7 linked regions of the Kluyveromyces lactis genome follow. The protein of the gene in region 7 purifies or fractionates together with the protein of the main gene of each other region. This does not show direct contact. Links are inferred from orthologs where the notes say so. Each region holds a gene or a part of one and is shown on either strand. Other genes may lie near its edges. The genes, in order: RRP5, UTP15, BUD21, CSL4, NOC4, UTP6 and UTP4.

Region 1 (4,104 bases), on a different chromosome or scaffold from region 7:
GTGAATCATTTTTCTTGTACACACTTAATGGTGCCTTTTGTTCTTTGATATCTTCGAAACTGTCGAAAACTTCAGAAATACTGATACGACCATGTACATTATCAGCCAACGTAACGTTAAGCTGGTTCTTCTTAACTGATGTAATTGTAGCCTTTGTAACCTTACCGATAGTGAAGTCCGACAAATCTTTGATAGACTTGTCGACTGGGTTAATTACAGATGAATTGATCTTCTTAACATCGGTCTTTTGTTTTAAAATAGTCAATAAAAATCTTTCATGTTCCTCATCTGTTCTCAATAAATACACGGTCACGGATTGATTGATGTAGTATTTCTTATGAATATCAATATCTCTGGTTTCTGCTGCATAACTTGGTAAAACCAAACCGACAAATTTACCATTGAATGCAACAAAAACACCACGGTCAGAAACAGATTTAACGTAACCATGCATCGGTTCTGTTTTGTCTTTATTTTTGATGTCGGAAAAACTTAAAGGAAGGGTACCGTCTTCAGCATCTTTAATCAATGATTTTTTACAGGACATGTTGAACACATGAGTCCTGATGTCCTTGTCCAAAACCAAACCTCTAACTTCAGAGTTAATCTTTAACTTTTTCTGCGAAGCTCTGTTTTGTTCAATTCTATCATCTGACAAATGGCCGGTGTAAATAACACCGCGCAACCCTGAATCTTTAGATTCTACGATGACGGAATCTTTAGTCTTTTCAATAACAATTGCATCGATGATAGATTTACCGACAACTAAAGATTCAATAGCACTCTTTTGCTTGGAAGAAGACTCTGCTGAAATTTTACAAGAAGCAATAATTCTGTTTCTTTCGAAGTCATGATTCAAAATTTTAACCAAAACACTTTGTCCTAGTCTTAAGTGTTCTTGTGGTTTCTTTACAAATGCTTCTGAAATTTCTTTGTTTGGAACGAAAGCTTTGATATTATTAAAGAACGAGATAACACAACCATTAGGCTTGAATATTTCAACAGTACCAATTGTTTTCAATTCTTGACTTTCAACAGTCTGAATATCATCATTTTTGCAGACTAACGTCACAGATTCTTCGTCTGCATTTACAATAGACTTTTTCAATGTCACAGTGACACGGCCCACAGAATCGACATTGAGAACTCTACCTTTAACCTTTGAACCAATTTTGAATTTTCTTTCAGGATACACAAGTCTGGTATCAGATATGTGTAAGGGAGGAACAAATGCCTTAAATTGATCATTGAAAATTTTTAATTCAATACCTTTTCCTGACACTGTGACAATCTCACAAGCGCTCAAAACTTCGCCTGCTGGAATATCGGACGATCTTAGGTATTTGACATCAAGTAAGGCTGGATCAGACGTCAATGTGTAAAGTTTATCTACATTGTTATAGCCGAGTATTCTTGCTTTCACAGTTCCCGTTGGTTCAGTTTCTCCTGCCTTTGACAAATGAATTTGTCCCACCTGTTCATTGTTGATTGATACGTAGAAAAATTGACTATCCCTGCCTTTAACTGTGCAAGAATCGAAGATATAGCCAACGGGGAAAGATTCTAACGCTTCGGTCTCCTGTAATTTTGGATGCAATGAGATGATATGAGGTTGTGTGGAAACGACAGCAACTTTATCGCCGCTTTTCACTATAGTGGTTGCCAAAATTCTAGCATTGACTAAGTCACCAATGGAGTAGTGATGCTTCAAATCCTCTACCGTAAAGAAATTGGAATGTGGCAATGGCAAAAATGCAGTTATTAGACCGAAGGCTTTACCGATAACACCGTGATTTGTGATAGTTTGAGGTAAAAAGTCAATCGATTGACCCGGCACGATGGCATCTATGGAAGAGATCTTTTCGACCTTGGTGTTTTTACTGGCCAAATCCAAGTTGACATTTACAGTTCTACCAGATCTTTTCGTCACTGTAGCTAAGAACACCATACCTGGTAACAAAGAACTGAATTCAGGTATATCCTTCTTTGAGATAAAACCTGTTAAGTTCTCAATACCGATATCAAGAATGGCACCGTGATCTTCTATACTTTTCAACGAACACTGTAGTGGACAGTTTTTAGCTAAATCATCATCTTCAAACACGTTTACTACAGAGGGTTCGATGGATAAGTCTAACTTTTTGTTCTTGTTTGATTCTAAAGCGCTGTTATTTTGTACCATGCACCTCAACCATTGGCCTATTTTGAAATATTTATTGAGATCAGGTAATTCTTTAGGAGTTGTTATGTCGCTTTCATCATCTGAAGAATCGTATTCTGAGTCCTCATTTTTTTCATCATCGCTTTCCATGGATTCGTCCAAATTTTCCAAAATCTTGGTCATTTGTTCAGAGATATCTGTTAATGAGACGTAACCATGCAAACCGTCCACCAAAGATATTTTCAGTTCATGTTTGCTGATCGATTGGATTTGACCCAAGACAATGGTCCCTTTGGTCATTTGTTTCATTCCAAAATGCTCAATTAAATCAGTCTTGTCCTCTTTTTCTTCATCATCACCTGTGGTAATTTGATCAAAATTATTCTTAGCATTCTTCTTTTTCTTCTTCGTTGGGCCCTCTGCACCAGTAGCTGATTCATCCTTGCCAAATAAAACATCAGCAACCACTTCGTTACCAACCTGCTTAACTTCCAATGGGGATAAAGCAGAAGAACCACCTCTTGGAAATGAGATTTCCTCGGATTTACTCAATGCAGATTTGGCTGGTGCTTCGGTAGCATCCTGTCTTACTAAAGGAGACTCATCGTCTCTCTTTCTTTTACTTTGTGGAGCAACCATGTTTGTGATCTTTTTCGGTATTTAGATATGCCTGTTTTCAAAACAAATTACACCTAGCAATTTAGATGTAAACCTATGTTTTTCTTGAAGTGTCTTGCAAACTATTGAAGCTCCTGTTCCCAAGTTGTTGTTGTTTTTGTCTTCTGTGAAGATAGAAACCAATAAAGCCAATAGAAAGCACAAAGCAAAAAGAATTCAGAGAAAGATACAAAATATGTTATACCAAACTGTTTCCTGTTTGAGAAAGTAAACCAGACTTATCTTTACCAGAATTAAGAAAGTTGCACTTGGTTTCTAGAATCAACAAAGCTCAGAAATGTGTTAGCATACCAATACAAATGATCCAGCACTTAAGTAGCTAAAGCTCATCTCATCTCATCTCATCTCATCGCATCGATTTTTGAAAATTTTCAATATTAAAAAAAAGAAATCAAAACGACATAGACGAAATGTAATCGCGCCTTTGATGCAGTGACAGTTTAATAATGGAACGTTGTACAGATCTTCCGTTGTTATCACTGGAGTTTGTTTGAACCGTATCCACGGATTAGGGTCTTTTGAATGCATGACATACTTCTTAACTATTAAGGGCTTTTGTTAGCCAGTTATTCTATCTTCTTAAAGAGGTATAATAATTACATATCTGTAATGGTGGAAACCATGTAACTAAAAGGTTCTAGGGGAGTGATAAGAGTTTTGTTGGTCATGCTAAGAAAAATTTGTGCAATTACGAGTGGAATGCCTTCTATGGTAATAGTTTCAGATCAGACTATATGTTTTTTCTCTTTTTTGTTCAATTTCATTTCTAAAGGTACTTTCACAGCCGGAAATATTTATTATAAGGCATAAAAGCACCATCATATTACAGTCTAAAGCTGTTTCTGGCTCCTTTCGATCCATTTTCAGGGGCAGTCTATATATCTATCGAACTACGAGAGTTTTATCAACACAGTAAAGTTCCACATTGTAACGTGAGGTATCATTGGCCTGCCTTTTCTCCTATCCTTCCTTATGTATTATGTGTCTTGGTATGAAATTTCATTAAATCAATTATCTTCAATTTATCAACCTACATTCTCATATATATCAGAAACCTTTAAAAAGTAATATGGAGTGGATTCTATCAATAGATAAGGTCGACCAACGCACCTTTGAAGAGGGACTCAATGTCATCATTCGACAGCAGATTTACAGGAATACCCCATAGTGCGAATAAATCAGCAAGACCGTCCTTTTCTTCGACAAGGACGGGATCCAGCGCTAATACAACTACTTCATCAGCAATCTTGGAACAAAACAACACA
Region 2 (3,394 bases), on a different chromosome or scaffold from region 7:
GAGGGAACTGTCGGCAATGAAACTGAGAGCAATTATGTGCGGAAAGTTAAAACCATAAAGAAAAGAACAAAAGCGAAGATGAGACCAGCAGCATTAAACGAGAAGTCGACCAACATTCCAGACAAAAATGTTCATGAACAGCTAGCAAAGTTGAAGGAACGTGAGTACAATAAAATGCTGGGTAAAGAAGTGGAAGAAAGTGAGTCTGACTCTGAACAACAATCCAATCCACCCGTAAAGAAGAAGCAACGTAAGAGTAAATACAACCTTGTTAGCAACAACTTCAAGCGTTTGAATCTTCCAACAAAGGCAGGAAGAAACAGAGCCAGTAAATGGAGAGGAAGAAGGTGATTTCTTCAAAGTCAGAACGTTAAAAACAAAGAAACAGACGTAACGAACGGGATGATACAGTTGTTGCAGTCTATGTACTATAAATGTAAATAAATATAATCTTTTACACGCATTCCTTTTTGTTATAGATCAGTGTAGAAAGGATTTTATCAGTTTGTTAACAATTGGAGCATACCCTCTATCTTTTGTGCTTCTTTTGCTTTGCGGATCTCTTCCCTTACTCTTTTCTTTAGAGTGATTACCATCTCTTCAAGTACTGGGGACTTCTCCAGTACACTACCGTAGAGTTCAATTACAACCGCAATCCAGTCTGCAACAATTGGTGCACTTCTAACATCTTCTATTCCCTTCAAGCACCAGTTGAGTAGTGGTTCTAGAGAACTTTCGTCTCTACCGTATAATGCAACCTTGATTTTACCTCTTTTCCTTAGTTCTTGTAATACCGTTAAAGTTAATTCTTTAGCCATACCGGGGATAAATGCAGAATCTAATGCGTCAGACCATTTGAATTGGTTGATATGCCTTTCGAATTGACGCAACTTACGCTGAGGATTTGGCTTATCGTTGTGTATAATATGCTCTTGATCACCTCTGTATTCGGACCCTCTCATCATTCTCTGGAAATTGTTGGATTTCGCAGACTTCTCTTGCTGTTGTAATGGTAAATCCTCCAAATCAGAGACATCAGCGAGGTTAATCTTTTTGGACTTCTTCTTCGTCTTGATGGCTAGAATTCCTGAGGATAAACCTGCAACGAAATGTTTATTACCTTGCGCATCGCCTGGTGAGACTGCACAACTTAGCACAGCGTTGCTAAACTTCCAGCCAAACTTGAATTGGAAGTTCTCCAACGGGGAAAAGATCTTAACATGACCATCAAGCGAGGATGCAACTAGTACGGAACTCATTGGTGATTCTTCTCCCATATTTGTGTAATTCAAACAGGTGACCGTCTTTGCGAAATTTTGACGTTCACAAAGGGCTCTATCGCTAGTCAAGTCCCATACTTTGAACCCGTTACCACCACACGATGCAAGCTGAGTAGGAGATATGGCTGTGATATCTTCCACAGGAAGACCGTGATCCAAAGTTGTCTGTGGTTTATCTGATTTCGTTCTAATATCGTACAATCTAACTACTCCATCGTACGACCCTGTAGCGACCATATGTGGAGCATTTGGCACAAAGCAGACTGATCTAACATAATCAGATGCTCCAGTTAACTGTAAAGTGGGTTCATAAGCATGAGAAACATCCCATAGTCTCACTACTCTATCGTCGTTTGCCGTCACCAAAGTCTTGTTATCCTGATCGTGAAACTTCGTCACATGCGTAGGATGCGACGAAGCTTGTATAGAAAGCAACAAAGTACGTGGATTATAACTATCATAAACGGACACTAACCCAGTAGCGTCACCTGCTACTAAAAGTTTACCGTCTTGACGGAAAGTGGCCGAATGCACCACATCTTTAAACCTAGAAAACGTCTTGATCACTTGTCTTGTCCTTGACGAGAAGACCTGTACCCTAGTAGAAGAGGTAACTGCAAAATCATGTGGATGCTGGGGATTGAAGGCAATATGAGTCACTGCATTGTGCTCTTTAACAAGCTGAGTAGATGAATAAGACCTCCAGTACCTCTGCTCTGGGGTGGTCTGCTTTGGTAACACAGGAGCCTTTACCGGCGTCACTCTAGGTCTCACAGACGACATTTTCTTCACAATATTTCTACCAATCTGATCGCCTGAATCACCTCTATCACTTAACAGTAGTCTGACGATACCAAACCGACTGATATAACTCGCAAATTACAGGGAAATCTATTTTATCAACCATGCGATGAGCTAAGGCTTCAATCATTTTTTTTTTCCAAAATCTGGTTTCTTTTCTTTGAAGACTCGAAGAATCTCGTTGATTGTGATTTTTCAGAGAAGAATAACCGTTCACTGTACTTTACAAGCAGATAAAGGGCCTTTAAGGCCCTTTATCTGCTTTTAACCTGGTTTCCCAGATTTTCTTGATTCCCAGGTATTCAGCAATACCACTTTCATTATACTAACTGGTATTTAGGATATCTTTTCTTTGTATTTCTGCATCCCAGTAGTTATTATTTCGTCTATTTACATTCCATATGTATGGAATTTATTTATACTCACCAGTTTATCAAGAAACTAAACCATGAGAACAGGACACGTTTGAGTCAGGAAGAGGTCTTTCTGGTGCGTTTACAGAGTGTTCCAAAAGTCAATTGATCTAGTATCTCGCGATAATATGGTTTCGATTAATTTAGCAAAGGTTTTTGCACCTCTCCCTTCTACAAAGAGAAACTTTACGACACATTTATCATATGATCCAAAGACTGACAGTTTAGCTTATGGTAGCGGTAGATCTGCCATCATTAGATCTTTAGATGGTGAACATGTCGTTCAATTCAATGGCCATGGTACCAGTAATGTCACTGTTGTAAAATTTTCTCCTATCCAGGGGTCTCAATATGTTGCTTCAGGAGATGATTCCGGTAGAGTTATCGTTTGGTCTTGGAATCAGGACGATAAGTCTGGAGAAATTGAGTACAACGTTAAGTCGGAACTACATGTGCTCGCTGGTCCTGTCGCTGATATATCCTGGGATTTTGAGGGTAAAAGATTGGCTGTTGTTGGTGAAGGTCGTGATAGGTTTGGTGCGTTTGTCTCTTGGGACTCGGGCAACTCGTTAGGTGAAGTCTCGGGTCACTCTCAAAGAGTCAATGCAGTTCATTTCAAGCAAAGCAGACCAATGAGAGCTTTCAGTGTCAGTGATGATGGTTCTGTTGTGTTTTACCAGGGTCCACCTTTCAAGTTTGCAAGCAGTGATAGAACGCATCACGGCCAAGGTAAATTCGTTAGAGACGTCAAGTTCTCTCCAGGTGCAGGGAAATATGCTGTGTCTGTCGGTAGCGATCGTAAGATATGTTGCTTTGATGGTAAGACTGGTGAATTTATCAAATACATTGAGTCTGAAAAGGCTCCAATTGGCGGTGGTTTGTTTGCTGTCGCATGGTTAG
Region 3 (2,477 bases), on a different chromosome or scaffold from region 7:
AGATATTTAGAGAGAACGTCAGCTTCTACTGTACAGAGCTAAATCATATGAAGAGCTTATTGAATAAGCGGTTTTCGCCTAAACGTCGAAATAAACCAATCACTTACGCACCAGCTTCAGCAGCGAAACCTAAACCCAAACCCAAACCTAAACCCAAACAACTGGACCCACCAATGCAATCCGGTGAGAGCAGTAGCCAGAAAAGCAGCACTCCCATACCAATCAAGTCTATATTAAGACCTGTTGATGGCACGCACGAACATGAGAATAAATCTGTCCGCATTGTGGAATCTTCACCACATCCGGAGTCTGTTCCAATCAGCACACCAACTAGGATAATAGTAGGACCATTACCTGATGGAAATGTTAGTGACTCTTTGGTATATAATGCCAGCGATTTAGAAAAGGGTCATATCGGCGTCGCGGAGGAATCGTCACCGCTACTAGAATCACAGTTGCCTGATTTGACAACATACCAAACAATTTCCCCAGAGTCCAACCCCACTGCACAGATACATTGCTGGTCAACACCCTCGTTGCCAATTCCAATACCACCACCATCAAGCGATCAGCCATGTTCAGGCGACCCCGTGCAGTCACCCTCAATTCCCCCATCCAGGGAATCACCATTTACCAGTCCGTTAAGTCGGTTCTTGCAAATGCTATACGCAAGATATCCTGTCATCATAACTTATATCCTAATCACCATCTGTGTCATTGGGATAATATATTCTTTAGTAACAGGAACTGGTAGATCATATCTCTTGGTTATTATAAAGGCATGTATATGCTGGATAATGGGTACAGACGTGGCAAGAATGCTTTTTGGTACCCAGTTCTGTGATATTGAGTTTAAAGTGTCATGATGTTTCAGTACTGCAAGCTACACATTAAATACCATTAGCATAGCAATAAAGTTGATATAAATTGATATAATCTAACCAACAAATAGCACCAGAACCAGCCAATACACAGCACAGTCCGTTAACGGGTGATGAGCATTCTACTCGTAGTCCAGTGTCAGGAACAAAATCTTCAGCACGTGACCTCTATTTACGTATCATTTCTTTTCGAAGTGAAAAATTTGGACAAAGCGATGAGATGAGATGAGATGAACCACTGGAACTAGTCCATGAAGCAGGTCGTGTTACCGTTCTGTCAGTGTTTCTGTTCAATTGTGCATTGGATTAGACAAGTGGCAAGAGTTTACTGAGAAATATAACAATGGGTTTGAAGAAAGTTCTAGGTTCTGGTGCTGCACTGGTAGCGAAGAGACACTTGAAGTTCGATGATGATGCGGATGATTCATTCCATACAGCTGATGAGGGCAACTCTACCCTAGATGCTCTCAAACCAACAAAAGCAGAAGCGAATGGTGAAAGTGAAAGTGAGAGTGAGAGTGATAGCGATGCGCCAGAAGAAGAAGGCTTGAGTAGTGGGAAAGATGCTATAGAGAAAAGGATTCAGGAAAGAGAAGAGGCTGCAAGGTTACAAGAAGAGGCAGCTAGAGAGAAGAGACGAAAGAACGAGAAAGTGTTCAAGCAACAGCAGCTAGAGAAGAAGAAGAAGCTGCTCGAGTCTGAGGAGGAGAAACAGAGAGAAAAGATGTTAGAGTTTGAACGACAATTAGTAGCGCAGCAGGGTTCGGATAATGATGAGCCGGAAGAGTTACCACAAGAGTTCTTTGATGAGCTAGAAAGTGGATCTGCATCTTCCTTCGCAAAGGCTACGCCGAAACATATTACTTTCTCGGCAGAAGCGCAAAGAGAAGAAGAACAGGCCCTAAAAGAAGAATTACGGAAACAAAAGAAGAGATCACTAAGGGAATTGAGAAAGACCCAAATACAGAAAGGACCTGTCACTGTGAACTTGCTATCGTCGATGAAGGTATCTAAGACACTGGCTCCAAAAAAGGAAACCAGTGTCATGAAATCAAAGGATAAATGGTTGAAAAGAAGAAGTCTCAAACGTAAATAGAAGAGGATTTGTGCCCACATGTACCTATCTATTCAAATATACAGGTCTTTATACATGTGATTTGTCTCGTGTATAATGTATTATCTAAAAGAGGAGTTTCCTGATTGGCTTTAGCTATCATGAGGAGCGAAGAAAGAGATCATTAACGGGATAAAGATACCCAAGAGTAACAATCTGACATCTGGAAGTGATTCTTGTTCTATTTTCTCTTCAGTGGTAACACCTTCGCCCATCTCTAAAACAGAACCCGACACTGGGATCGGGCCATCATTCTGTAACTGTTGTTCCTGGTCCTTACTTGGTGAGATCAACGCAAGCAATGAAGCATACAATAAACTACTACCGCTCAGAACCAATAGCCCATCGCTCATTTTCTCGATTAGGTCCTTGCTGACGAATCTCATCAGGATCACGAATAGCAACCCGAACGGTGTGGATATACTGAATGCAATAAGATTAGAGATTACTTGTAGTTTGGGTAATCTCTGTTTCGAAATCAT
Region 4 (2,636 bases), about 530 kb from region 7:
TGGCTTGCGTGGACCTTTTTGAAGCTCATCCATCCTTTTATTGATCCGTTGACTCGTGAAAAATTGGTTTTTGATGAACCATTTCCAAATTATGTGCCACCTGATCAACTCGAGACGCTTTATGGTGGTAACCTCGACTTCAAATATAATCATGAAGCCTATTGGCCTGTCCTAACTCAAATTGCAGAGAAGAAGAGAAAGCATTATCTACAAAGATTTGAGAAGTTCGGAAAAAAAGTTGGACTGAGTGAATATGATTTAAGAGGTGACCACGATGAGTTGAAATTCCCAATCAACTAAAAGTCCAACTAACTTTTCTGATAATAACATATGATATTCAGGCGTTGAATTCACAATGATCTTAGTAGAAACTTCCTCAATATTCCCAATATGCGTGAAGCCTAATACGAAACTAATGTAAATGTAAATGAAAGTTGTAAATGTATGTATGTGAAGGTACCTATAGACTTGAACAAAAAGCTTGTTGTGTTCCGACTATATTAGAAGGGCTTTGCACATTTTCGTTTCTCAGCGACTCCGGTCTTTGGTGAAATCATTGTCTGCCAATCAATTGCATACATCTGTTCTCCAGCTCCGTTAGAAGACTTAGCGAACACCACGCCCAAGTCATTCCTTGCTGTAGTTAAATAGTAATGGGTACCATCGCCAAGTGAGAGCACTTGAGCACGTATTATATCCCCAGGTTTAAAACTTTCCATAACTTTTACTCTATCTCTATCAGTGGCCCTTACATCTTGGGATCTAATTATGCCCCTAAAAGTTTCTCCCAAATCCGCGGACACTTGCGAAACGGAAAACGTAGACGCACCAGATCCACCAGCAGCAGCAATTATGCCAGTCCCATTGCTTCCGACACCAGAGTCGATCGGCAAGGGCGAATTCTCAACTGCTAAAATCTCAACTGTTATTCTTTGCAAACTGATTCTGGTCACCCTCGCCAGTACGATATCGCCCTCTTGCGGAAGGTTATTGACAAACTGGTCATCAACATACTTGCTAGCAAACTTGCTAGGATTTGATACTGATACTTTGAAACTTTTTATAACTCTACTATTGCCAGAGCTTGCATCCCCTCCGGTGGTCTCATGAGATTCTACAAACGTCGTATTCTCTGAGTCTTCTTGATCGTCGTCTTCGATAATATCTGCTGGAACTTCTTCCACAGATACAGAACCTTTTAATGTGGCTACGATAATATCAACGTTCTTGCCGTTAACTCTAAAATTCTCCTGTTTACAGCCAGTGCCCGTTAGGAAGCGTATTACCACTTCTTGCTTGTTATCATCATCAACATCAAATATTGGACATATAAGATCACCGGGTATAACAGTCTGGGGGAAATTTTTAAAAGGCTTCATTTTATAACGATGCATATAGACAAACCTTACTGTTATCAAACACTCTTATTATCTTACAGGCCATATTTAAGCTAGTTTGGTATTACTGTTAGCTCATCGCATAAAGCAGCTCTTTTTTTATCATTTTCATAATGAGTGAAACAATTTTCAAAATTTGGGAGATGTTGAAGACAAGTTAGAATTATTTTCAAATAGTAGGGTAATATTACCAAAGCTTTCAAAGCGGGCTCAACACGAAAGCTACGTGCACGATTTGAATCCATATAAAGGGAAACATAGAAACGCATGGTAAATGATTTAACTACTATGATTACATGTATTTATAGGTCTACTAAAAGAAGTGAGTGTTGCACATAGAATCTTCGTGAATGTCCATTTCTGCTTTAAGCTCATTCAGCTCGTCCTTTATCATTTGGGCCAATTGAGGAGTAAGTTGATTGCATGTTGCCGAATCAGGATGCCTATCATACTCAAGTTCACCATAGGTCTCATAAAGGACTATTTGAGAGGAAAACTTAACAAGTTTTGCTGCATAGCTAGATCTTTCTTCCGATTTCTTCGACATCTGATCTGAGATATGTTCAAGTCCCGTAAGCCCTGAAAGTTCCATGGTACTGTTGAATTGTGGCGCTTTCAAACCCCTAAAAGACATCGATATAGGCCTGCTCATCGATGTTGTGATATCTGGTAAAAATGCGTTGATCTTTGGGGATTCTTTTACTGCATGTATGCCATTAAAATCTTCGTTCTCAAAATCTTCCTCATCATAATTATCAAAATATAAACTGCTATCAGAAAAAGTGTTTTGGTTGCTACTGCTAACATTTTCTGGTGATGTGTCTCTTGTTTTTATAGTACTTGATATGTGTTTCTGATCATCCAAACCAGTCTGTTTTTGGTTGAGTACTGAACTGTTTGTCTTAATTTCTGGGGAGTTAGTAAGTTCCACAAGAAATGAGTTTTCTGTCTCAGTATTGAAGCTGGGCTTGGATAGAGAGTTTTTCACAGATTCTTTGACCGGATTTAGAGTTTCATAGTGTGAACGATTGTCAGAATAGAGATCAAAATTTAACTCGATATCTTGTCCAAAGTCTATTATACTTGCAAATTCCATGATATCTGAGATTAATTCGTTGTCTTCATTATCTGAATCTTCAAGACTAGATTTAGTTGCCTTATTCTGCACCAATGGTTTTTCTAGTTGATCTTCTTGATCAGATTCCATTGTCAGCTCGTTTAACTTTTGCTCTATGGAAC
Region 5 (3,195 bases), on a different chromosome or scaffold from region 7:
TACTTTTTCCAAAATTTTTCACCAGAGCTTGAATCGCCGTATTCTTTTTTCTTTCGAGATATTGAAAATGACTCAGTATCAATTGCATATCAAAAGAATATGACAAAGCAGCAGAGAAACGAAAAGTAACGAAGTGAAAATGAAAATTGGTGCCAGATTCTAACTCTGATTCATAGTTGATTCATTTGTTCCCGCTCCGACTTGTCATATTCACGATACCATCGTATCACGGCATTTTTTTCTATCTAATATTTACGTTTACGTTTACAGTTAGTTTAGTTTTTGAAATGAATCGCACAAGGCGATTCATATTAGCAAGAAGCAAGACTCAAACACACAAACTCACATCAAGTCTATACATGGGATGACCTTCCCAAAAAGAATCAGAATTTTATAAAAAGTGTCCCAAATCATTCAAAGAATGTAACAAGATTATAAGGCTTGCGAGGGCACCACATTCTCCATTAAAACCATGAACAGAAAATAATTCCCATCCACGAAAGAATTGTAAGAATTAAAAAAGCGCAAATAGTATCATCGTCTTCTTTTAAAACTTGGAAGGTCATGTGGATTTAAGCCCAAAAAGAGTAATACAAGTAAAGCCTATCAAAGTTACATCTCTTCTACATCACCAATTGTGTCTTGTAATTTCTTGGTTCATAAATCTTTCTCTTATATATGATGAAATTCGGGCTAGATCATTTTATACTAATCGTTGAAATTTGTATGCTGTTAGGGCTCATAGGCTGCCGTGAACTGGAGGATACGCACCCCCTGAAGGAACGAGCATCAGTGTGCGTATTCAAGGTGATGCAGGCAAGACTTGACTGACAACAGAATGGTTTACCACTCTAAATTATATATTTAATGTCGCCATTGATAGCTAGTTTATTAGGAAATGCGATCACGTGATAAGAATAATTTCTTTTCAATTGTCTTCTACATTGCAAGAATCTCTGAAAAATTTGGAATCAAGAGATGAGATGAGATGAGATGAGATGAGATGAAGTCGAATAGGAAACGTTAAGGTAGGATATTCTCACCGTTATAATCTGTTTGATTACTCGCAATAAATAATTGGAATTCACATATAAAAGTTTCCCAAGGATTCAGACAGCGATTAACCAAGATGCTCTCGAAGGAAGAGATTAAGCAAGTTTGGAAGTCTATTAGCACCGGCAATGATAGAAAACATTACAACTCGTTGGTGAACCTAATCCATGGGTACAATGAACTTCTAAAGGAAAACGAATTGTTGCACAATTTGGAAGATGATTACCGTTATATGACCATTGCTTTGAGTCAGATTTTCATCAAACTTTTTGAGCGTGGTCAATTGATGCCTCATCTTGCATCCAATGCCAATGAAAAGAAATTCTTTGAATGGTGTAAGAAACTATATTTAAATTATAAGGTTAAGTTATTGGCTATCATTACATCTTTGCATGAAGTTAACTCGTTGAGTTTAGATTGTTTGGACTCATATATGAAAATGCTTCACCATGAATCGATATATTGGGCTTCGAAACCAAATAGTCCTTTCTTTCCAAATAAGACTTTAAGATCGTTACTAGTGGCTCTTTTCCATTGTAACTTTGAAGGTGATATCGGTTTCAAAGATGGTCAGAGCGAGAATCCCGTGTTTAATCTATTTGTGGAAGCCTATTATAAGAAGAATTTCGATATTCAATTCTACACACAATCAGAACTGATATCGTTGTTACCAGAACTTGATGGCCAAACATCTGACGAAATTTTGATGTCTAAATGGTTGGCTTTATGCAACAACGATGTTCAGGGATCACCAGACTTGGAAATATTCGTATCTGTGCCCCCACAAGCCATCGAGAATGATGCTAAGTTTAAATCCAACCTCGAAACAAATTGGTTGCACTGTCTAAATTTAGCCAACTTATCCAGTAGCCAATATAAAACTGTGCTTTTAGTGCTACACAAGAGAATTATAGTATGGTTCCATCAACCAACAAAGCTTATGGATTTCCTTACCGACTCTTACAACCAAGGTGGTATCGTTTCAATCCTTTCATTAAATGGTTTGTTTGAACTTATGAAAAAATACAACCTAGAATATCCAAATTTCTACTCAAAACTATATCAGCTTCTAACTCCAGAAGTAATGCACGTTAAGTACAGATCAAGATTTTTCAGATTAGTGGACACCTTTCTATCTTCTACACATTTATCCGCACAACTGGTAGCGTCATTCATCAAACGTTTGGCACGTTTATCCGTATCGGCACCACCAGGTGCTATTGTTTCTATAATACCATTCGTGTACAATCTAATCAGAAAGCATCCTACATGTATGATTCTATTACACGATCCAGAATACATCGACTGCGATTCAAAGAAAAGGCAAGAATATCTAGATCCATTCAACAATGAAGAAACCAATCCAGAACTTACAAATGCTCTTTCCTCCTCAGTATGGGAGCTAGAAACGCTAATGAATCACTACCATCCAAACGTAGCCACTTTAGCGAAGATTTTCCAACAACCTTTCCAAAAGTTAAGCTACAACATCGAAGATTTCTTAGATTGGTCTTACGATTCACTTTTGCAAGCAGAAACCAATAGAAAGCTGAAGATCCAACCTGCTCTTGAATTCGAAAGGTTTGAAACAATTTTCGAATCAGGTTCTGATTCAGCATTCCTACCCTTCATAAAATGGTAAATACATAATTTCAAGTAGAAAACTTAAGTAGTTCAATTCCAAATTGAGTACTTTCTTTCACTTTCGCAAATCTCTTCACATTACATCTCATCACATCGCCGTAATATTGAAACATCGAGATGAAAAAAATCAACAAGTCAACATCAAGAAGAGAAAGACTCACATCAGAAAAAACTTTAAAATGGGCTCCGTTTATCGGTCTTGAGGACTTAAAGGCACATACCATACCAGTTGGCTGCTTTTTTACCACTACTATTGAATAAATGACTGAGGAAGTGAAAGCCTGTAATCCAGAGAAAGCCTTAGAGCTGAAGAATGAAGGTAACAAGTTCGTGAAGGAGAAACTGTACGCAAAGGCAGCTGAGTATTATACAAAAGCCATCGAGCATGATCCCGAGAATACGATCCTATATTCAAACCGTGCGTTCACCAACCTAAAGTTGGATAACTTCCAAAGTTCTTTAGACGATGCTAAACGTGCAATTGAATTGGATAATAAC
Region 6 (2,999 bases), on a different chromosome or scaffold from region 7:
AACGTGATAAACAAGCAAGAATTATGACATTGGAAAGATTTGGAAGTCAAGTGTACTCTTCTTCTTCATCTAGTAACACTGCCCGTTATAGAGCTACTTCGGCCCATAGATCGCAAGCTGATTATGCTCAAAATTATAACGAAGGAAGTGGACGTAAGAAACTAATGACTATCAGTGACATTCAGCATGGGGCAGATTTCCAATTATTATCAGCTGAGGAACAGCAGTTATGCATAACGTTGAAAATTTTGCCAAAGCCTTACATTGCCATCAAAGAGGTACTATTCAGAGAATTAATACGGACTGCAGGTCAACTCTCGAAGAAACAGTGTCGTGATTTATTGAATATCGAGGCAACGAAGGCCAACAGAATCTATGATTTCTTCGTTTCTCAGAATTGGGTTTAATTAGAGTTATAAAACTGTGGAAATATTGGCTCCACTGCTTACCTTACTACTTAATGTCAAATATGTACATAAAAATGTGTATACAGTGTCTCATTACAGTTTCTTGATAATAGCATTCAAAATAGCATACTTCGAATCAGATTTATCCATATTGGATAATAGATGTTGGGTCAAATAACCAGAATATAATGTAGTAAGTTGTTTGGCATTCGTCTCATCTAATTTGCTGATGTATGCAGAATACTTTTTGAAGGACAATTGGAGACTGTCGATGTTTAATTCGCCGGCAGGCATGAATTTGATATTTAATGTAACATCATGCAATAATAATTCCACATATTTTTCTGGCATACTTTTCTCAAGGGAAATATTATAATGTTCGTCCTTTAGCCATTGCAATACGTGATTTATCAGATATTCTCTTTTTAAATCTTGAAATTCCGAAAATAAGTTGATATACTCGAGGCATCTATCAAACAGGTAGGACATAACGTTTCTGCTGAGCTCTTCATCGACTTGCGAATTGGTAACGGCGTAGTATCCTTGATGTTTCTTGACAAAAGATGTGCCCAGATTCTTCATTGCGATATCGAATATAACCAATGCGACATCACCACGTAGTGCTGGATTAGTTTCTTCTGATCCAAGCATATTCATATCGGCTTCTGGTAACTCGTTTAGTTTATCTTTCATCTTGTCACCAGTACTTGGAAGTTGAATTCCGTCTTTGTCAAAGTATGCTTCGTCATCTGCAGTTTCTTCCAGACCTGTTACATTACTGGAGTTTCTTCCTTCCTCTTGCTGTTGTAGCATATCTAGCTCTTGTTCCCTTTCGTTGATTAAATTCATCACTTTTCTTCTATTTAACAATTTTGTCACGAAATTCAGTTCGAATTTAACGTACTCGTACCAGAGTTTAGAAGCATCTGGATTAAATCTAAGACCAGTTTGAAAAACATTTCTACAGCTCTTGAAGTTTGCGTGCAATTCGTATTCATATTTAGCACATGATATCCAAACGTCAACGTTTGTTGGATGTAATTTGAGCAATTGATTGTAGACGTTTTGAATCTTTTTATAAGAGGCATTTGTACCCTTTGATTTTAAATGATTCAAATATAAAGACCAAAATTTCAATTTTTTTGGGAACTTATTGCAGCCTCTTTGGAAAATATAGAGAATCCTCTGCTGTATGGTAAAATCCGAAATACTATTTGATTTGTTCGATTGCAAGATACGTTTAACACGTTTCATTCTTAATGCATCGACATTCTTCTCGTATTCAATATATCTGATGTAATCACTTATACTTGAACCTCTCGAACTCAATCTGTGTTCAAAATCAGTCCTTTTCTTCATAATTTTGTTTACTTCATTCTTAGTGAATAACTTCTTCTGCACTAAGTCATCAACTTCTGGAATACATTGTTCCAAGTAATATCTTGTTCTGGATGACATCGCCTTACTCTGGGTAGTTTTATGTTAAGTATTGATTAAAGTGTAATCACGGAGACTCGTATCGCTCGCTTACTGACAAAGGAAACGACTACTGGCTTTGTTCATGCTAAATAATACTGAGATGAGATGAGATGAGCCTTGAAGCTTTTGAATTTTTTTGGTTATATTGATTTCTTTTTCATATAATCAGTCAGAATAAAGTCCTCCATTTAAATAACCATCGATGAATAACAAAAGGACAAGTACAATTGTTGTTCTGCTAGCGTAAATCGGATTTTTTTTTACTGCAAATTGAATCCGCTTACATATGACATTCGGGACTACCATAAACTGCGACCCTTAATGTCGTTGTATGCTTTCATACAAGATGACAGTTTTGTTGATCGTTAATTCGGGCAATTTAACATTACCCGGATATTTTACATGGTAGACAAATTTTCGATAATCAAAAATCTGAATATGAAATAGGTTGAATACTAAAGATGATTGATTTGTTTGCGGTGATCAGACATAGGAGTGTCCAATTGATCCCCTTTGTATCGAGACATTAAGTCAGTGTATCAGAATCAGCCATGTTTTCCAAGAGACAAGGTTTGAATTTGTGCAAAAACGTATGTCAAACCCATTTTCATCACTGTTGCAATGGTAAAGCGCGGGCTTTCCTCAAACTGCATGATGATATCCTTCCGCATTAAGCAGTTATATCACCTACTTTTAGAAGATCGATTTACTAACTATTGCTCGTAATTTTTTGTTACTCTTTTCCCTATTCTCTACAGGTCCGTTACGTTTCCAACAAACCCCTTCCTAATGCTAGTCTACCGCCAAAATATACCTTAGCAACGGTTCGTTCATTCCCATCATTAGAACCATTGACATTTGCACCAGTGCCAACCTCAGTATTTGATGCTCCATTGAGAAGAGACTTACTATGGCGTGCTGTTGTTTACGAAAATGACAGTAAACGTGTTGGGTCTTCTAACCCCCCAGGCAGAAGTGATGTTGGTTATTCGAGAAGAAAGATTTTACCACAAAAGGGATCTGGTATGGCCAGAGCTGGTGACGCTAATTCACCAATAAGGCATAACGGTGGTAGAGCTCTAGCAAGAACTGCACCAAATGATTATACCACAG
Region 7 (4,153 bases):
TGCATAGAGTGCTTGTTCTGCATATGTAGAGTTCACAACGTCAATGTTCTCCAATAAATCGATGATGTCACCGTCCAGGATGTTCAACCAGGTGAAGGCAACTAATTTTTTACAAGAATTTCTAACCGTTTCATCTCTATCTTCAAACCCCCAGGTCATCAGTTTCTCTAAAATATCAGAATCCACCTCATCGAACGTATGCTTCCCCAAACTCTTTAGTACTCTTGTAAACACCAATCTTCTATTGATGAAATTAACATCTCGTACCCGTTCCAAGATAACATTCTGGGTCGCTTTCGAACGTACAATATTCAACATTGCTGCCCTCCGAACTTCTGGACTTGGATCATTCCTAATGATATGCATTAAACTCTGTGTAGCTTCATCGAGTTGGAAATTTACTCCGGTTTCTGATTCATTAATCATCGATACGTTATCGTTTTGAAATTTTGTCAAACAAAATATCGCCTGTATCCTAACATGAGGTTCCTTGTCATACACCCTATGCTTCAAAACCCACATAATCAACTCGTACAATTCCTCATCAATTTCTCCCATATTATCCATAGTTGCGGCCAAAAGTTGCATTACTCTGTATCGTACGTTTTTATTTTTCGATTCCACTCCTCGAAGCAGATTCCTCACAAATCCATCAATAAATCCTCCGAAATGTACTTCCAAATTCCTCACATTTTGCTCATTACCATCTTCGGTTCTCATCTTGTTAAGATTCGACTCTATATTTGCGATGAACCCTGAAATCAACCGAACAATGCGATCCCCCACGATTTCCTGTTTCTTCAGCGGCAAGATTTTGACAGTCATTTTGATAAACCAATAATGAAACACATCTGATATCTCTTGCTCCACACATTTCAAATAAATCCTGTATAAGACAGCTACATGACGTCTGTGACCAGCATAACTCTTCTGCGCCACCTGGAAAACCTCCGCTATAGAATTCAGAACACGACGATTTGTAGGAGATTCTCCATCCTGAACATCCATATCAAACAATTGCACCCTTTTGGTCAATAATACCACGAGTATACACCAGGGAAAGGCTGCTATGAGGTTGCCGCCGATGTTTCTTCCACTTTCCTTTTCCTCTTTGTTTATTAGTTTGTTTATGTGAAGAGAAGATCCAATTGTAAACAAATCTCGTTTTCCCAATAGATCTAATATATCACGTGATATGATCATACTGTACGGTGTTGAAGCTAAACTAGTTTCTTTTTGAAAAATTTCAGCGTTAAGAGCACACAAGCTTAGAACAGAAGCTCATCTCATCGGATAACAAAGTCGTATATTTCTATCTAGTCAGTGAAGTTTTTTGATTGACATCAGCCTACAGTTTGTCAATCTTTTGTTTCATTCTAATACATTAGCTTTTGTTCTCTGATACAGGTTTAAGGTCCTCAATTTATAGAACACATTTGATCATGACTGATACTGGGAAGAAACAGGTAGTGCATCGATCCAGGTTTGTGCAGTTTACACCTGGTAATATAACGGCTCTTGCATTTTCACACAAAAGTACTGATAAAGCGGCACCGCAAGAGCTAAGACTGGCTATTGGTAGATCCAATGGTAATATTGAGATCTGGAATCCAAGAGATGATTGGGTACAAGAGTTCGTGATCTTGGGAGGTGAAGGAAGATCCATTGAAGGTCTTTCCTGGTGCAGTATTCGTGGAGAGCCTTTGAGACTATTTTCGATCGGTGGCTCCACTGTAGTTACAGAATGGGATTTGACAACCGGGTTGCCGTTAGTAAATTACGATTGTAACTCTGGTGTGATTTGGTCCATTGCAATGAGCAACGATATGAATAAGCTAGCGGTCGGATGTGATAACGGCAGTGTAGTACTTATTAACATCAGTGGTGGTAAAGGTGTTCTTGAGCATGAGAGCATACTTACAAGGCAAGAATCTCGTGTCTTATCGTTGACATGGACAGCCAATGATGAATCTTTGGTCGCTGGTTGTTCTGATGGAAGGATTAGAATATGGTATACTAAGGAGCAAGACGAAAACAAGGGAAGACTATTACATACTATGAAAGTGGATAAATCGAAGAAAGAATCTACACTCGTATGGTCTGTGTTGTATCTAGCTAAACAGAACCAAATTGTGTCTGGTGATTCTACTGGGTCGGTCAAATTCTGGGACTTAAACTACGCAACATTGACTCAATCTTTCAAGGTTCATGATGCCGATGTTCTATGTCTGGCTACTGATCTGGATAATTCACAATTGTTCACTAGTGGTGTTGATAGAAAGATTTTCCAATTCTCTTACATCGATACAGGAAAGAGCATGAAATGGATCAGTACTTCAAACAGATTATTCCATTCCAATGATGTTAGATCTATGTCCTCTTATCAATGTATGGGATCCGACTTCCTAGTGTCTGGTGGTATTGAAAAGTCTCTTGTCATGTGCTCAATGTCCTCTTTCGCTGAAGGAAATTATAGAAAGATGCCACTAGTTACCCCATTCCATAAGAGCATCCTGGTCAACAAACAACAAAGACTATTGGTGATGTGGCAGGATAATATCGTGAAGATATGGTATATTGGCGAAGACGTCAATGAGCCTAAGAACTACAAATTAGTTAGTAAATTGGTTTTGAAGGATGAACAAAACATCCAAACCTGTGCACTATCAACTGACGGACAAGTTTTATTAGTGGGAAGACTAAATACTACCAAAGTTTTCCATTTACAACCAACAGACAACAAATTGAAAGTAACAAAGTTGGACAATGAGTTTTTGTTGAGAACTGGTTGCAAATTTGCTAAGTTCATTGATGATTCTAGGTTAATAATGTGTTCACAATCTGATGAAATAGTTAGAATTGACCTTGAAGAGGATGACGACGAAAAAACCGTAACTATTGAGTTACCTGAAGCGAACTCAACGAAATCCAGCAATAAACTATCATATTTGAATGCAGTGAACCATTTAGATGCAAATGAACGTTACGCTGTTGCGTCTAGAGGTACCGGTGCTCTAGACTTAATAGATTTGACAACAAACAGTAGTAAAGCTTTAATTCGCATGAACAACTTCATCACTGCACTGTGCATCACACCAAGAGAGACTGTAGTAGTAGTGACATCAGAAAATAAAATATACGAGTTCAATTTGGAATCCGAGAAGGATCAACTACTCACTGACTGGTTCAAAGCCAATCATGAAAACCTCCCAAGGCAATTTACTTCCTTGAAAGAGAGATGCACAGGAATATTCTTAGATGAAATGGATGAGCATAAGGTATGGTTCTGGGGATCTAACTGGTTGGTTAACATCAACATGTCATTAGACTTGCCAGTTAGCAAAAGAAAGAAGCAAAAGAAGCGTGACCGTGACGGATTAACTATTTCCACTGACGGTCTACAGGCAGACGTCGATGAGGATGATGAAGACGATGAAGAACTCGAAGTTAAGGAAGATTATCTCTTAAAAACTCAGAGAGCGCAAGATGTCACCTCCAAGAAGAGATCTGATAAGGCGTTTTTCTATACCGATAAGTATAGACCTCTATTATTCGCTGGAAAGATCGCAAGTGACCAATTAATCATTGTGGAAAGACCAAACTTCTTGATCTCCCAACCTCCTGCATTTGAATTAGAAAAGTTAGTATTCTAATTTATAATTTCTGTACATTATTATAAACTCGATCTTCATCGCGAAATTGATTTTTAACATAGGGTCATCATTCCGCCGCATATCATCTGTGTAGTGTTCTTTCTGCTACCTTAATACCAATGAATGTCAAGAGCGAACTGCAAGCGAACATTTTATCAGACCAGACGTCGATTACAACATCAGGAATAGTGAATTTCTCACCCAAGAGTTGATTGACCTGTTTTGAGACATCATATGGTAAATTGGAGCGAATCATCAAGATAGTGGCAAGGATGTACACACCTGTCAACTCACACACAGCGAGGTTTTTGATGATCGAAGGGGGTTTCTTGGTATAGAATGCATCCTTATTGCTCGTAGGAAGCTCAGAGCCATTGGTACTCTGCATTGCAGATAACGCTAATAATTGTAGTTTGACAGGCAGTAATGTCAAAAGATAAGAGATTGTCGTAGTGACAGTAGAAAGAGAGCACACGAACAACGAGATGGACAATATCAAG

The links.
Region 1: the proteins of UTP4 (region 7) and RRP5 purify together in Saccharomyces cerevisiae (affinity purification with mass spectrometry, with the first as the bait; 3 studies listed by BioGRID). This does not show direct contact. The link is inferred for Kluyveromyces lactis from reciprocal best matches to the Saccharomyces cerevisiae genes UTP4 and RRP5.
Region 2: the proteins of UTP4 (region 7) and UTP15 purify together in Saccharomyces cerevisiae (affinity purification with mass spectrometry; 7 studies listed by BioGRID). This does not show direct contact. The link is inferred for Kluyveromyces lactis from reciprocal best matches to the Saccharomyces cerevisiae genes UTP4 and UTP15.
Region 3: the proteins of UTP4 (region 7) and BUD21 purify together in Saccharomyces cerevisiae (affinity purification with mass spectrometry; 3 studies listed by BioGRID). This does not show direct contact. The link is inferred for Kluyveromyces lactis from reciprocal best matches to the Saccharomyces cerevisiae genes UTP4 and BUD21.
Region 4: the proteins of UTP4 (region 7) and CSL4 purify together in Saccharomyces cerevisiae (affinity purification with mass spectrometry; 3 studies listed by BioGRID). This does not show direct contact. The link is inferred for Kluyveromyces lactis from reciprocal best matches to the Saccharomyces cerevisiae genes UTP4 and CSL4.
Region 5: the proteins of UTP4 (region 7) and NOC4 purify together in Saccharomyces cerevisiae (affinity purification with mass spectrometry; 8 studies listed by BioGRID, with this or other methods). This does not show direct contact. The link is inferred for Kluyveromyces lactis from reciprocal best matches to the Saccharomyces cerevisiae genes UTP4 and NOC4.
Region 6: the proteins of UTP4 (region 7) and UTP6 purify together in Saccharomyces cerevisiae (affinity purification with mass spectrometry; 4 studies listed by BioGRID). This does not show direct contact. The link is inferred for Kluyveromyces lactis from reciprocal best matches to the Saccharomyces cerevisiae genes UTP4 and UTP6.

Annotation. Positions count from the first base shown.
Region 1 is NC_006038.1:728,546-732,649, reverse strand, and holds the start of RRP5 (Rrp5p), read right to left. Parts: upstream 2,801-4,104; coding exon 1-2,800. Other genes in the region: YPK9 (putative acid anhydride hydrolase), read left to right, coding at 3,967-4,104.
Region 2 is NC_006042.1:1,275,201-1,278,594, reverse strand, and holds UTP15 (snoRNA-binding rRNA-processing protein UTP15), read right to left. Parts: upstream 2,064-3,394; coding exon 501-2,063; downstream 1-500. Other genes in the region: SLD2 (Sld2p), read left to right, coding at 1-351; AIP1 (Aip1p), read left to right, coding at 2,623-3,394. UniProt on the Saccharomyces cerevisiae protein: Involved in nucleolar processing of pre-18S ribosomal RNA. Required for optimal pre-ribosomal RNA transcription by RNA polymerase I together with a subset of U3 proteins required for transcription (t-UTPs).
Region 3 is NC_006037.1:682,612-685,088, reverse strand, and holds BUD21 (Bud21p), read left to right. Parts: upstream 1-1,224; coding exon 1,225-1,977; downstream 1,978-2,477. Other genes in the region: KLLA0_A07645g (uncharacterized protein), read left to right, coding at 48-866; Mn(2+) transporter ATX2, read right to left, coding at 2,088-2,477. UniProt on the Saccharomyces cerevisiae protein: Functions as part of the small subunit (SSU) processome, first precursor of the small eukaryotic ribosomal subunit that coordinates the first two steps of ribosome biogenesis in transcription of the primary transcript pre-RNA and pre-18S processing.
Region 4 is NC_006040.1:1,659,619-1,662,254, forward strand, and holds CSL4 (exosome non-catalytic core subunit CSL4), read right to left. Parts: upstream 1,395-2,636; coding exon 501-1,394; downstream 1-500. Other genes in the region: BNI4 (Bni4p), read right to left, coding at 1,711-2,636.
Region 5 is NC_006038.1:952,990-956,184, forward strand, and holds NOC4 (ribosome biosynthesis protein NOC4), read left to right. Parts: upstream 1-1,129; coding exon 1,130-2,695; downstream 2,696-3,195. Other genes in the region: PPT1 (protein serine/threonine phosphatase), read left to right, coding at 2,959-3,195. UniProt on the Saccharomyces cerevisiae protein: Involved in nucleolar processing of pre-18S ribosomal RNA and ribosome assembly. Has a role in the nuclear export of 40S pre-ribosomal subunit to the cytoplasm.
Region 6 is NC_006038.1:119,427-122,425, forward strand, and holds UTP6 (snoRNA-binding rRNA-processing protein UTP6), read right to left. Parts: upstream 1,866-2,999; coding exon 501-1,865; downstream 1-500. Other genes in the region: chromatin-binding transcription regulator ADA2, read left to right, coding at 1-407; YML6 (mitochondrial 54S ribosomal protein uL4m), read left to right, coding at 2,438-2,476, 2,645-2,999.
Region 7 is NC_006040.1:1,131,567-1,135,719, reverse strand, and holds UTP4 (small subunit rRNA maturation protein UTP4), read left to right. Parts: upstream 1-1,442; coding exon 1,443-3,653; downstream 3,654-4,153. Other genes in the region: condensin subunit YCG1, read right to left, coding at 1-1,203; KLLA0_D13200g (uncharacterized protein), read right to left, coding at 3,736-4,153. UniProt on the Saccharomyces cerevisiae protein: Involved in nucleolar processing of pre-18S ribosomal RNA. Required for optimal pre-ribosomal RNA transcription by RNA polymerase I together with a subset of U3 proteins required for transcription (t-UTPs).